Linked DNA regions of Nothobranchius furzeri. The protein of the gene in region 3 purifies or fractionates together with the protein of the main gene of each other region. This does not show direct contact. Links are inferred from orthologs where the notes say so. Each region holds a gene or a part of one and is shown on either strand. Other genes may lie near its edges.

The links.
Region 1: the proteins of rpp21 (region 3) and rpp40 purify together in Homo sapiens (co-immunoprecipitation; 3 studies listed by BioGRID and IntAct, counting the BioPlex papers as one, with this or other methods). This does not show direct contact. The link is inferred for Nothobranchius furzeri from reciprocal best matches to the Homo sapiens genes RPP21 and RPP40.
Region 2: the proteins of rpp21 (region 3) and rpp30 purify together in Homo sapiens (co-immunoprecipitation; 3 studies listed by BioGRID and IntAct, counting the BioPlex papers as one, with this or other methods). This does not show direct contact. The link is inferred for Nothobranchius furzeri from reciprocal best matches to the Homo sapiens genes RPP21 and RPP30.

The regions. Positions count from the first base shown.
Region 1 is NC_091751.1:33,814,032-33,818,413, reverse strand, and holds the start of rpp40 (ribonuclease P protein subunit p40), read left to right. Parts: upstream 1-1,474; 5' UTR 1,475-1,548; coding exon 1,549-1,665; intron 1,666-1,711; exon of another isoform or gene 1,712-1,849; intron 1,850-1,941; coding exon 1,942-2,083; intron 2,084-2,183; coding exon 2,184-2,252; intron 2,253-2,325; coding exon 2,326-2,421; intron 2,422-3,396; coding exon 3,397-3,519; intron 3,520-3,904; coding exon 3,905-4,070; intron 4,071-4,137; coding exon 4,138-4,272; intron 4,273-4,341; coding exon 4,342-4,382. Other genes in the region: riok1 (serine/threonine-protein kinase RIO1), read right to left, coding at 1,225-1,280. UniProt on the Homo sapiens protein: Component of ribonuclease P, a ribonucleoprotein complex that generates mature tRNA molecules by cleaving their 5'-ends. Also a component of the MRP ribonuclease complex, which cleaves pre-rRNA sequences.
Region 2 is NC_091756.1:51,152,830-51,157,245, reverse strand, and holds the start of rpp30 (ribonuclease P protein subunit p30), read right to left. Parts: upstream 2,914-4,416; 5' UTR 2,840-2,913; coding exon 2,758-2,839; intron 2,117-2,757; coding exon 2,058-2,116; intron 1,780-2,057; coding exon 1,657-1,779; intron 1,484-1,656; coding exon 1,412-1,483; intron 935-1,411; coding exon 845-934; intron 765-844; coding exon 648-764; intron 526-647; coding exon 496-525; intron 357-495; coding exon 319-356; intron 158-318; coding exon 78-157; intron 1-77. Other genes in the region: nudt13 (NAD(P)H pyrophosphatase NUDT13, mitochondrial), read left to right, coding at 3,923-4,125, 4,200-4,342. UniProt on the Homo sapiens protein: Component of ribonuclease P, a ribonucleoprotein complex that generates mature tRNA molecules by cleaving their 5'-ends. Also a component of the MRP ribonuclease complex, which cleaves pre-rRNA sequences.
Region 3 is NC_091748.1:41,191,522-41,195,919, forward strand, and holds the start of rpp21 (ribonuclease P protein subunit p21), read left to right. Parts: upstream 1-1,486; 5' UTR 1,487-1,939; coding exon 1,940-1,996; intron 1,997-2,093; coding exon 2,094-2,194; intron 2,195-4,398. Other genes in the region: pak2b (serine/threonine-protein kinase PAK 2b), read left to right, coding at 52-189, 277-363. UniProt on the Homo sapiens protein: Component of ribonuclease P, a ribonucleoprotein complex that generates mature tRNA molecules by cleaving their 5'-ends.

The DNA.
Region 1 (4,382 bases), on a different chromosome or scaffold from region 3:
ACACCTGAGAACATTTCTAGGTAGTCTCTGATTCATAAAGCGGAGATTGTGTGCAATTGTGCGTACTCCATATTTTATAGATCACAAACCTACTTGGCATAAGTACATTTTTTTGCTGAGTTTAAGTACAGTTTTAGTAAGAATTCTATGCTATGTTTTATAGATGAGACCCCTGACCTGTACTGGAATGGTTATTGTGTGAAGGTCCTTGAGACGACTGGTCGTGACTTGGCGCTATAGAAATAAACTGAATTGAATGTTGGAAGTCCTAGTAAGCTCTGTTTATCCATGTATTTTATTCAAGGAGTGGAAGGAGTTTGGTGAAACCATGGTCCTGAGTCAGAAAAGGGTAGAATGCCTTGTCCAGGTCAGGGATGAGGTCCTGCCCCAAGTGGAAGAGTTTAAGTATCTCGGGGTCTTGTTCACGAGTGAAGGAAAGATGGAGCGTGAGATCGATAGATGGATTGGTGATGCAGGCTTTGTACTGGTCTGCCATTGTTAAGACAGAGCTGAGTCAGAAGGCAAAGCTCTTAATTTATTGATCTATCTACATTCCAACCCTCATCTACAGTCACGGGCTTTGGCAGTGACCAAAAAAATGAGATCGCAGATACAAGCGGACTAAATGCATTTTCTCTGTGAGGTGGCTGGACACCTCCTTAGAGATAGGGTGAGAAATGTGGAGGGGCTCGAAGTAGATCCTCTGCTTCTCCACATATGGTTAGGATGCCTGCTGGACCTGGTGAGGTTTTCCGGGCACACCAACCAGGAGGAGACCTAATGGAAGACCCAGGATACGCTAGAGGGACTATGTCTCTCAGCTGGCCAGGGAACACCTTGGGAATCCCCCGGAGGAGCTGGCCCAGGTGGTTGGGGAGAGGGAAGCCTGGGCCTGGCTGCTGATCAGCAGATGGATGTTCTCTGGTGTTTTTGTCTACAGCTGACTGAACTTCATGATGACGAGAAACAATAAGAGCCAATAGTGTTTAAAACAAAGCTGTTCACCTGTAGAACTCCTACAAATGCATCACTTCCGGTAGTCACCCACAGAACAAAACTAATCTTTATTTACGCAGGTTAAACACGTGGTTAGCTAGAAACGGCGCGCGTTCCCGACGCAGGGTACACGTTCTACCTGGGATACCGACATCAGTACAACACCGGAGCAGGACCGTTCTCATTAGGTCACGTTTCTGATCCAATACGTCACAAATAACAACATACCGGTTGTCCTCCTCCGCGTCATCAAACTGCCCTGGTACGGCAGCCACCTCCACCATGATGTCACGTGAATAAACAGAAACCAGGACCAAGTTCTGCTCGGGTTACCCTAGGTTCGGACCGGAGCGCGCTTTCACCACCGCGTGTTTTCTTCACTTCCGGCGTAGACCACGTGACTACGGGGACCCACGAGGCTCTGAAAACAGCACGACATCCTCCTGCTCAGATCTACAGAACCTGTAGAACATCCAGAACTTCCGCGGTTCCGTTTGGTTTCATGCTAACGGGTTCTCGTCTGGATCCGGTCTCGACGAGGGTACCGTGAATATGTGTTCGGATCTGGACCGGACTCCTCGGACTCTGCTGGTCTGTGATCGGTCCAGTTTCCTGGACGAGAAGAACCGGGTCAGCCCTCAGGTGGAGAAGCTGCACTTCAACCACAAGGTGAGAGCTGCGCGTGCACGCGCTGTGACGAGCCAGTGTTTTGCCCATGCCGTGCATGCCCTGTCGCGGGAGCGCGCATCGCTGCACCGACATCTGAGTCACGAGGCAACTGAAGTATAAACTTTTCTCATCCGGGTACTTGCTGAATAGATAGGTGAAAATAATAACAGAACCCTGCTGCCAGGTACGGGTCCAGGTGATGTCCAGTTTCTGCTGCTTCTACCTGCAGCATCACAAAGTCGTGCTACCTTCTGTTGACTGGGTTCATCTGTGCAGGTATCTGTACTGCTGCCTGGGTGTAGCGTCACCCCCTCCAACCTGGACTTGGTGATGAACACCTTCAGCAGTTTCTACCTGATCAAGAAGCTACCAGTACACGAGCTGCTGGACCCAGGCCTGCAGGGTGCCATAAACCAAGGTAACACAACACCTGTATATACCATTTAGTTATCAGTACACACCTGTGTGTACTTGTTATTTAGTACTTACCTGTACACACTTGTCTGAACCTTCTTCAGGTGTTGTGTATGGTCTGTCCTTTGGGACTCGCATCGATGAAGATACCTGTGTTGCTTTGATGCCAAAAGGTAAAACAGGCGACAGCTTTGACTTCTTCAGTGCAACATGAAAAAAACTGAGTGGTTCCTCTGGTCCCTGCAGGACGTCTGGTTCTGTCTCTGGACAAAGACTCGTACGAACTTCTGGGGGTTGAGGGGAAACCGTCCAGATTCAACCACAGAACCTGCAGCAGATTTGGTCAGGTTTACTTTTGTTTTCTAAAGGTCACCAAGTCCAGATCGATCCTGCAGACCTTCATCACTCTGGTCTGGTCTCTGGTGGGTCTGCAGACCTTCATCGCTCTGGTCTGGTCTCTGGTGGGTCTGCAGACCTTCGTCACTCTGGTCTCTGGTGGGTCTGCAGACCTTCATCACTCTGGTGGGTCTGCAGACCTTCGTCACTCTGGTCTGGTCTCTGGTGGGTCTGCAGACCTTCATCAGTCTGATCTCTGGTGGGTCTGCAGACCTTCATCAGTCTGATCTCTGGTGGGTCTGCAGACCTTCATCAGTCTGATCTCTGGTGGGTCTGTAGAACTTCATCACTCTGGTCTGGTCTCTGGTGGATCTGCAGACCTTCATCAGTCTGATCTCTGGTGGGTCTGTAGAACTTCATCACTCTGGTCTGGTCTCTGGTGGATCTGCAGACCTTCATCAGTTTGATCTCTGGTGGGTCTGCAGACCTTCATCACTCTGGTCAGGTCTCTGGTAGGTCTGCAGACCTTCATCACTCTGGTCAAACATGTCACCATATCACCAGCTGTGATGACACGATTTTCGTCTCCAGATCCAAAGTTTGTTTAAAGTTTCCACATTTTCTGTCAAGCGTTTCTGTATAAACCGCGCGGTTTGCGTAGAAAGTCCCTTACACCGTTTTCTGACCCGTTTTGTGCAGAAGCAGCTTTCTAAAGGAAGTCCCAGGACTATAGGTGTTGGGTCTCCAGGTACCAGGTGTGAAGGGACCCGTGCGGTAGCCTAAAAAAGCCAGTTGACTAAACAGCAGCAGAGCCAGGACACTGGGTGGAGTTTTAGGGTGAATTTATCCTCACTAGAAGGAACCTGCAGGAAAGAATGTCCAGATGTTCCTGACTCAGGTCCGGGTTGTTCAGTCCTGACCTGTTTGCTGAGCTCAGCCTGAACAGAACCAGAAACCAACCGAGTGTGATGTCTCCTGCAGTGGTCTCTGTGGACCTGACGGACAGCAGCATGGCACCTGGTGGACGGGGCCACACCCGGCTCCTTACAGGTCTTCGGTCACACCTTCAGCTGCAGACAGACTTCCTACTGTCCCATCATCCAGGTGACACACCATTGTTAAGGATGGTTACATGTGATCTTCTCCTTACAGGTGAAACTCATAAAAACTAGAACAAGGGGTAAAGGTCACTGTTGTCACTAATCCACCCTGAAAGGTGAGACTAATCAATGAGACAGACTCATCCTGTCAATCCAGATGTTTCCGCCTTTATCTGTTCTACCTGTGATGATTACGGCTTCCAGATGATGACGACCCCACATTTAACATCTCAGAATATCATGTAAAGGTTCAATGTTCTCCAATCAGCTGATGAATCCACAACACAGGCAGAGGCTTCCTGAGCCTTTAGATGGTCTCGCAGTCTAAACTGGACTTATGGACCAGATTCTCTTTTACTGTATCACCTGTACTCCATTCTGCCTCTCAGAGGGTGGGGCCTCTCTACAGCCACTCCTGTCTCGTTATGATTGGTCCAAACACGAACCTGAGGTCAGCTGCCGCCACCTGACTGACCTGACCTGTCCCGACTTTCGGTCATGTGACTGTCACAGTCTTCTGGAGTGGATTGGAGCTGTGGAGGCCGACATCAGCTGGTGAGTGGTCCAGTCAGGGTCACGTGTCCAAGTGTTGTGACTACAAGTCGTTCTTCTGTGGTTTCAGTGAGAGCTCATCCAGCAGCTTCCTGTCATCGTTCACCTGTCCAGAGCCCAATGACGTGCTCAGTCATGCTCTGAGCGTGTCCATCTGTGGCCTGCTGTTGCCACACGATGTGCAGCGACTGATCCAGGAGCTCAGGTTAGCTCTCTCACACAAGCACACCTTTACCTGAACAGCTGACGACAAAATAACTCACCTGTGCTTCAGGTGTCACCTGCAGCAAACTCAGCTGGAGTCCTGGGCTTCAC
Region 2 (4,416 bases), on a different chromosome or scaffold from region 3:
GACAAATGAACAAACAGTGTGGTAAACAGTCTGAACCAACAGGAAGCCCGAGTCTGCAGAACTTCAACAGGATTTACCCGCACGCAGTAAAACAGATCTGCAGGTGGACGAGATAGATTCTTTAGCATCTCGGTTGGACAAACCAAACAGCAGACCTCTGAGAACCAGATCAGGAACGCAAGACATGAAATGTGTTGTACAACACTACACACCAGACACAGTTCTGTGAAAACACACACGATGGTCTGTTCTGATATCTCACAGACTGCGGCAACACTGAGCCCTATGTCAGATTAATGAACAATGGTTAAAGGATACAGGTTGGCGATGTCATATGGTCCTCTGAGCTCCCAAGACTGAAAACACAAATATCAGGTCAGAGAAGTACGGTGGACAAAAAGGGCTAAAACTCAGTTATTAGAAATGTTCTGATTTGGTGAAACAGAACCTTTAGTTAAATTCATGTTTGATCCACAGACGTAGCTGATCACTGACCTTGTCAGCTGCACTCGACAGGATCACGTTCTGAAAAACAGAAACAGAGCTCAAGATCTCACCTGCAACGTGATGTCACAGAGCTTATGTCAAATAACAGCATAGTGTAAATTACTCTGCAGCTAGCCAATCAGATGCAAGGACATGCATACCTTCCCTTTACAGCTCTCCATCAGGCACACGGCGTTGGCGATGGTGTAGCGCCTCATGGTAGAGTCTCTGATGGCTGCAGCATAGGATACCTCAAATGCAACGCCTCTCTCGATGGCCTGAACTTACACAGGTTCACACATTCATTAAAACACACACACACACAAATAAACAAACAAACAAAAGCCTTGGTTGTCACCGCATTGATCGGCGCTCTCTTGAAGAAAAAGGGTAGCTTCTCTGTCACTGGGATGCAGATGATGTCGATATCGTACAACGTGCAAGCTGCCTGAATAACACACACACACACACACACACACACACACACACACACACACACACACACATAATACACATACTTCAGTAAAAATAGAGTGCTTTCCACTCAGTCTGTTTCATACAGGTGTAATTATTGTACAGCTGTGTTTTCCAGGACAAATTACAGCTACTGCTATTACAACCACAGTTAGTTTCTATTTTTTATAATGTTGTGTTTCTTGAAAACTTTTCCATTCAGTGAAATTGCAGTTTAGGTCCTGTTGTGTTTTCTAATTAAATGTTGTCAATTTATTATTTTTTTGTCTTTTTTAAACTTTTCTTTTGTTAAATATCCAGTTGTGTTTCAGATGGTCTTTTGTTTAGTTTTGTTGTGCGTTTTTCCAGTAAGTTGATTTTTTAAAGTCACATATTTCATCCATCAACATTCCTGTAGTCAGTGAAAGCATCATCCTGTTGGAGAGATGAACAGAGTGTCAGTGAAGCTCACATGGAAGACTTTCTCAGAGCTTGAATGGAGGGCGATGAGGTCGAAAAATCGAAAAGCTGGAGAGTTGGTCGGCTGTGAGCACGCACGCACGCACACACACGCACGCACACGCACGCACGCACACACACACACACACACACACACACACACACACACACACACACACACACAAAACAGGCTGTGGCATCACATCATACAATCCATTTCAAGATTATTGATCCCTTAGCTCTAATTAGACAACTCACATAGTGACTGGCGTCAGACATCACCAGCGTCAGTCTGTTCAGCACTCTGATTGGACGAGAACGGCCCTGCACCATGGGCAGCTTATCAAAGATCTCATTGATCGGCTTTGGTGAGGGAATTTCCTGCAAAGACAAAATAAACATACTCCCAATAATAAAAGTTTGAAACAAAATGTAAATTCATTGACAATCAACTGATTGATTCAGCATCTGCTTAACCATAGAGATCAAGTGAATGCTCGGAGATCAGTTTTATAAAACCCGTTTTGATGTTTTACCATTTGGATGTTTCTGTTCATAAGAATGAATGAGAATGTAATAAAGTATCAAAACGCAGCCACATCAAAGGCTTCTATCTGACTCCATGCTGTTCCTCAATGCAGCGCAGTAGGTAGTCTGACCTGTTTCTTCTTGGCTACGAGCTCAAACACATAGTTGATGGCGACCGTGGAATATCCAACTGTAGGAGGGGAAAACAAAATCCCAGTTAATCCCTTCAGTGAGGTTTGCATCATCCAGGTTCTGATTCTGGATCTGTGGTTGTGTAGGGTTTAGGAAATTGAGTGCTTTAAGAGCTCTGTTTGTGTGAATCAGGTGGATATCACGATCCTGTCACAGTCACTGATGTAAATACTCCAAACTACTGAAGATCAAGTAAACATCTGATATCTTTCTGTTTCCTGTCAGACGTAATGATTATGTCTCAGGCTTTATCCTCAACAGTTATTGTTCAGTTACGCACGTGCAAAGGGTCAAATGGACAACAAAGAATGCTTTGTTATGAAATATTGTTCCTAATCAAAAGTACATAATCCAAGGCGATGTTACGGGTTTGTGGGTTTTAGATGCAAACAAGCTGTGATCGATTATTTCTCTAATAAACGGATTCAACTTTTCCCACAAAATCTAGTGATAAGGGTTGTTCTTAGTGATGTTATAAACAAGCATTATCGATTAATATCTTAACAAATCAAGTCATTTACTGACAGTGTTTAACTGATACCAGAGCCTCATCAGCCGAACCAAAACCAGCTGAGTTACGAGGCGGACCAACTAAACACAACACTAGAAAAGGTCTGGTTTAAGGTCGAGAATACTCACGATGAGCAGCTGTTTCCACCAAACTCTGCAATTGCTTTATATTAGACGAATACATCACGTTTAGGTCCATAAACACAGACATGGTACCACGAACCTATACAGCTCCACATATAGAAAACCGCAAGGCTTGCTGGGAGCTGGAGTCTTGTTCTCGATGAGTGAGTGACACGGGCTGAGGCTGACACAGAATATTTTGTATTACCGCCACCTGCTGGTGGCGGAAGCCCCAAGCCCAAGAACGACAAAAGAAGAAAACCAGTGGATTCTGTGATAAAGCTAATCTTTTTTCTCAATTTGACATGAACCTGTTTGGATATTTCCTCCTGGGAAGACGTATCTTGTTTTAAAGTGACTTAAACACACGCGCGCGCGCGCGTGCGTGCACGCACACACAATATGACTAATTTAAGCATACATTAGTAACAGAGGTGCATTTTTGTTTTATTATAGAAAGTATTTTAGTATCACTTTAATACCAGGACAGACAAATTACAAAGAAATCAAATACTTTCATTTTTCATTTTCTAAATTTTGACTAAAGTTCAAATCAATCATATTTACTGCTTTACACTAGCCTGGCAAGCCAGACTAAATAAATCTGTTATTTAAACTTTGCAACGCAAGAGGTCTAGTAGTTCACTAGGTTATTTTTATTTACTTTGTTGCTTCCAAAGAACTGCAGCTGCAGTAACAACAGTCTGGCAGCAGGGGGCAGCCGTGCCAAACCGCTGCTCAGGGAACAAACAGCAGCAGCAGAAGAAGAAAAGGTCAGAGGTCAGTGAAAAGTCGAAAATTTACTGCAGACGTCTGAGATTCTCGCGCTTAAACCGAACCAAAGTGGATGTTACACTGCTATAACAAAGCGGGTCAGCCTGAACTCTGAGCGGGTTTTTGTGTTCAGAACCACTAGCCTGACACGAATCTATAGTTTCAGTGTAACCTAACAGAAACGAGCAGATTTACAGAATCCCTGATTATTAAACAGGGCATCCTACCGATCTAACACTTCTGCCTGTGAAATAAATCTGATGCAGTGTGAGAATAATTGTTGGAGGTCACAAGAATAATTATTCAGAAAAGTGTATTTAAATCAGACCTGATCAGACTAGTTTGAGTGGAAAACTGCTGCTTATGACTGGTAAACAGGTTAGTATCAGCTTCATTAATGAACATCTTGCAGAAACATAAAAACAGACTCTGTGTGCAGGCTGAGGCAGCAGAACCACACCAATCCAGTTCAGATCAGTCTGGCCTAATCCAGCAGGTCCGGTCCAGAATGGCTTCCCTGTTAAGACCTCTGAGGATTTTCTTTCCCGCCAGATGCTGTGTTCCGACCCGTTTCTACTCAGGCTTCGTGTCCAGGATGAGGTTCTGAGGCTTAGACATCTTATTTATTAATTGTTTGGTTGATCTGCTGATCATGGATGGATGTTTCTGTTCAGATTCCTGAACAGTCTGAAGGAGTGTGATGAGGCGTGTGTTGCAGCGCTGCAGAACGCTCACATTTTCCTGTTTCATCGGTTGGTTCCACTGCTGCAGCAGACTGGCCGAGGAAACTTATCTCCAGTCTTTCTCACCTACTCAGGTACACAGCCCAAGAACCAGAACCCACAGACTAGCGAATCCAGAAAGTCAGGGACAGATCAAGATCTAAGACTT
Region 3 (4,398 bases):
TCTACCAACTACTGTCACTAATCCAGTCTTCTCGGGTCTCTCCTGTGGCAGGCGTTATACCTGATCGCCACAAATGGCACACCTGAGCTTCAGAATCCAGAGAAGCTGTCTCCGGTTTTCAGAGATTTCCTGAACCGCTGCCTGGAGATGGATGTAGAGAAAAGAGGTGGTGGGAAGGAACTCCTGCAGGTGAAACTTTTTCATTATTTTTACAGTGTTTTACATTTTGTCTTCGTGTCATTAAAATGGCTGTTGTCCTCCTCTCTGTTGATTCAGCATCCGTTCCTGAAGCTGGCAAAGCCCCTCTCCAGTCTCACACCACTCATCCTGGCAGCCAAGGAGGCCATGAAGGGCAATCGTTAGTGAACAAAACCAGCTAGCCTGCCTCCTCATGCTGTGCACAGACATGTGCCAACCATTTAGATTTTGTGCCAGACAATAGGCTGAGAGTGACTCGCCAGCCTTAGAAGCCCTGACAAACCTCACTGTGAAGAAGACCAAAAATCTCGAGCACATCCACACCGCTGTCCACATGAACTTCATTTTCTCTCAGACGTCAGAAGACAAGTCAAATTAAAGTGCTTAGTTTAAGAGCCTGGAATAGTTTATATGTACATCAAATCTGGTGGTAAGTTGGGGCTTGGCTTGTATTTAACTTGGAATGAAGAAGATGCCTAGTTCTGTTTAGTTTTTTTAATCAACTGCCTTAAAAAAAGCAAAAGTTGCCTAATGTGTTGTTTGTCTCCTTTCCCACGACTTTTACTACCTTTGTAATTGACTTTTCAGCTTGTCAGTATCTTAGTTATTTTGATACTTGAATTTCATTTTTGTGTTTATAATGTGTCTCACACAACAGACGTGCTGTGTCCACGCATGTTTTATCAGCATTTCTTCACCATTTTATAGGAAGCATTTCACGGCATTGATCATCATGAATGTGTGCCGTGCTCGTGTCGTTCTATAGCTGTCACACCTGACCGATCCACTGCATCTGTTCTTCCCCGGTATTTTTAGTCTCCTCAAATCAGAGGCGCACCTTACAGGCAATTAAAATGTTAGATGACAGGGTTTATACTTTCTTTATTGCTATTAAATTGAGTATTTTATGTTGACCTTTGTCCTTTGCGTTCTTCCAGAAGTGCACTGGAGATTTGAAAACAACCATATTGGGTGAAGTTGCAACAGGAGCCTATTGTAGAATTTTTATATTTTATTCTGAAGATCTAAAAGCCTGGTCTACACACAAATGTCGTTTGTTTGCTCTCATGATGTGAATGTAAAGATCTTCGGTTTATAGTATAAAACATGCAGAAACCTGTCATTAAAGTTTTAACTAGAGATTTATTATGTCTGCTGGCTTTATGCTATGAACTATTATTGTCTTTATTTTTTAAACATTGTCCTAAAAAATATCCTAGCTACATAGGAAAAGTAGTCACGGTGCTGTTTAGTATCAGGATGTGTACCACATTGATCATGGACCACAGGAAGCTAAAGGGAGAGTTCTTGGAACAGGAATTGTTGATAATAAAGACAGCTTGATGTTCAGAAGTTCGATAAAATCCCCAAAGAGATTCGAGGTGAACTTGTCTTGTATGGAATGTACAAAATTTAGAGTTTCATAAATATTTGTATTTTCTAATTTAATATTGCAAATCTGAGATGATGCACAAGTACTACTGTTTACATTTGTGTGACAGATGAAACAAGCCCAGATTAATCCGTGACCACCCTCCAAACAAACAGTCCCAGATCATGCAAATGTTGATCCGACCCAAGCAGATCCTAGAGCGTAAAAAAGTAGCTGGAGTCGCGCATGCGCAAAATGTAATAAATATGGCGGACAGTGTTTTGGTTTGCCACTAAGTTTGTTCAGTCATAGCTTTCTTCATACGGACACACCTGGTGGGCGTTTTAATTCTCTCTTTTGGTTTGCTCAATGGCACATCAACTAAAGGACAAGGAGGCCTATCAAAGGATGAACTACCTTTATCAGGTCGGTTAGAAATGGTTACGAGAAAAATCAGTAGTCGCGCGGCTAGCATGGTAGCTACCGTGTTAAGGGGCTTAATGTACCGGTTTTATCTCTACAGGCTGCACATTGTATATTATCTCAAAATCCTAACAACGTGGAGTTGGCTCGTTTCTACTGCTTCACTCAGAAGACTATCGCAAGACGTTTGGTCCTCAGACAGTAAGTAAACTGAGGCAAAGAGTTAAGTGTTTTATTTTGAAAACAAATTTAGGTCTTTGCGGCACTTCCTGCGAGTAAAGGTACTTCTTCCGTTATTTTTATCAGGTGTAGATGGGGCATGATTTCTATTTTCTTGACTTTTTAAATCCGTAGTAAAATAAACTATGTGAAATATGTTTATTTGTGCACAGTTGACTTAAATTAGAGGTTCCTTCCCAACCTTTTTCCCCAGAGGACTCCTTGCCTGATACGGGCTGTTGGGTCCCTGTATGACCGGTGTCAGAGCTTGGTCCCCATCTCACTGGGTCCACGTTTCCAGTGAGAGATGGACTCCGCCAAGGCTGACCTTTGCCACCGATTCTGTTCATAACCTTTATGGACAGGATGTCTAGGCACAGCCAAGATGTGGAGGGCATCCGTTTTAGTGGCCTGAGGATCAGGTCTCTGCTTTTTGCAGATGATGTGGTCCTGTTTGCTTCATCAGAACGTGATCTTCAGCTTTCACTGGAGCGGTTTGCAGCTGAGTGTGAAGCAGCTGGGATGAGAATCAGCTCCTCTGAACCTGAGACCATGGTCTTGATTCGGAAAAGGGTAGAATGCCTTCTCCGGGTCAGGGATGAGGTCCTGCCCCAAGTGGAGGAGTTTAAGTATCTCGGGGTCTTGTTCACGAGTGAGGGAAAACTGGAGCGTGAGATCGATAGGTGGATTGGTGCTGCGTCTGCAGTGATGCGGGCGTTGTACCGGTCTGTCGTGGTGAAGAGAGAGCTGAGTCAGAAGGCAAAGCTCTCGATTTACCGGTCGATCTACGTTCCTACCCTCACCTATGGTCACGAGCTTTGGGTAGAGACCGAAAGAACGAGATTGCAGACACAAGTGACTGAAATGAGTTTTCTCCGCAGAGTGGCTGGGGGCTCTCCCTTAGAGATAGGGTGTGAAGCTTGGTCGTCCAGGAGGGGCTCGGAGTAGACCCGCTGCTCCTCCACATTAAGAGGAGTCAGTTGATGTGGCTCGGGCATCTGGTCAGGATGCCTCCTGGACGCCTCCCTGGTGAGGTTTTTCGGGCACGTCCAACCAGGAGGAGACCTAAAGGGAGACCCAGGACACGGTGGAGGGACTATTGGGCCATTCCCATCTGTACCGGGTCGGGTAGCGTAGGTTGTTTACATATCTGGGTGGCCTGGTATTTTTCCGGGCCAACCAAGGCTCATTCTCAGCCCTCTTCTCGAGGGGGTCTGCTTCAGGCCGACCAGGGCCAACACACCCACTGCTGACAGCAAATTCACACCTTCCATTAGAGCAAGCCTCTGATTGGTGGGTAGAATCAGCCCACATGGGCTTAAGACAAGGATGTGTGGAATCACCCGGGCCAGGCTGGGGCCGACTGGGGCTACCCGGCCTGGGCCGACCCGGTACAGATGAGAATGGCCCATATGTCTCTCACCTGGCCAGGGAACGCCTTGGGATTCCCCCGGAGGAGCTGGCCCAAGTGGCTGGGGAGAGGGAAGTCTGGGCCTCTCTCCTTAGGCTAATGCCCCCGCAAACTGACTCCGGATAAGCGGATGAAAATGGATGGATGGACTCCTTGCCTGTCAAAGACACCCCCCCCCCCCCAACCCAAACTCTTTTCCGCATATACACATTAAAAGTGATTAATTACAAACGTTATACATCTTATATAAAGATTTTATTATATTATTGTCAAGTTCAAAGTCGCAGTAGAGGAGCTGGTCCCAGAGGACAGTCACATTGATGATATCTTGACATCCCACAACGATCCTGAAAGGCTGGAAAAGACTACAAAAAATGTGGAGGAAATTCTGAGAGTGAACGGGTTTTTTCCTCAAGTCATGGATCCGGTCTGGGCAAAGTGGGAGGCGGATAAACCAGGAATCAACTAAACCTGTTTGAGAAAACCCAACAGGGAAAGATGGAGTTGTGATCCTTCCCAATCAGATGAGGGAAGGTGAAAACGGAGCCCTGGGGATCGGATACCTGGTCCAAGAGGACAAGTTGTATATATTTTCCTCTATCAAATGTGTGTTTTTAGTATTTTATTAATGTAATTTTTGCATATTTAATCCTGGTAACCTCACTACCTCAGAACAAACAAACCTGTGGGGACTCACTTGGGGGGGTCACGGACCCTACGTTGGGAACCACTGACTTAAACAATTAAAAACTAAGGGCATTAGCATGGATTTGGT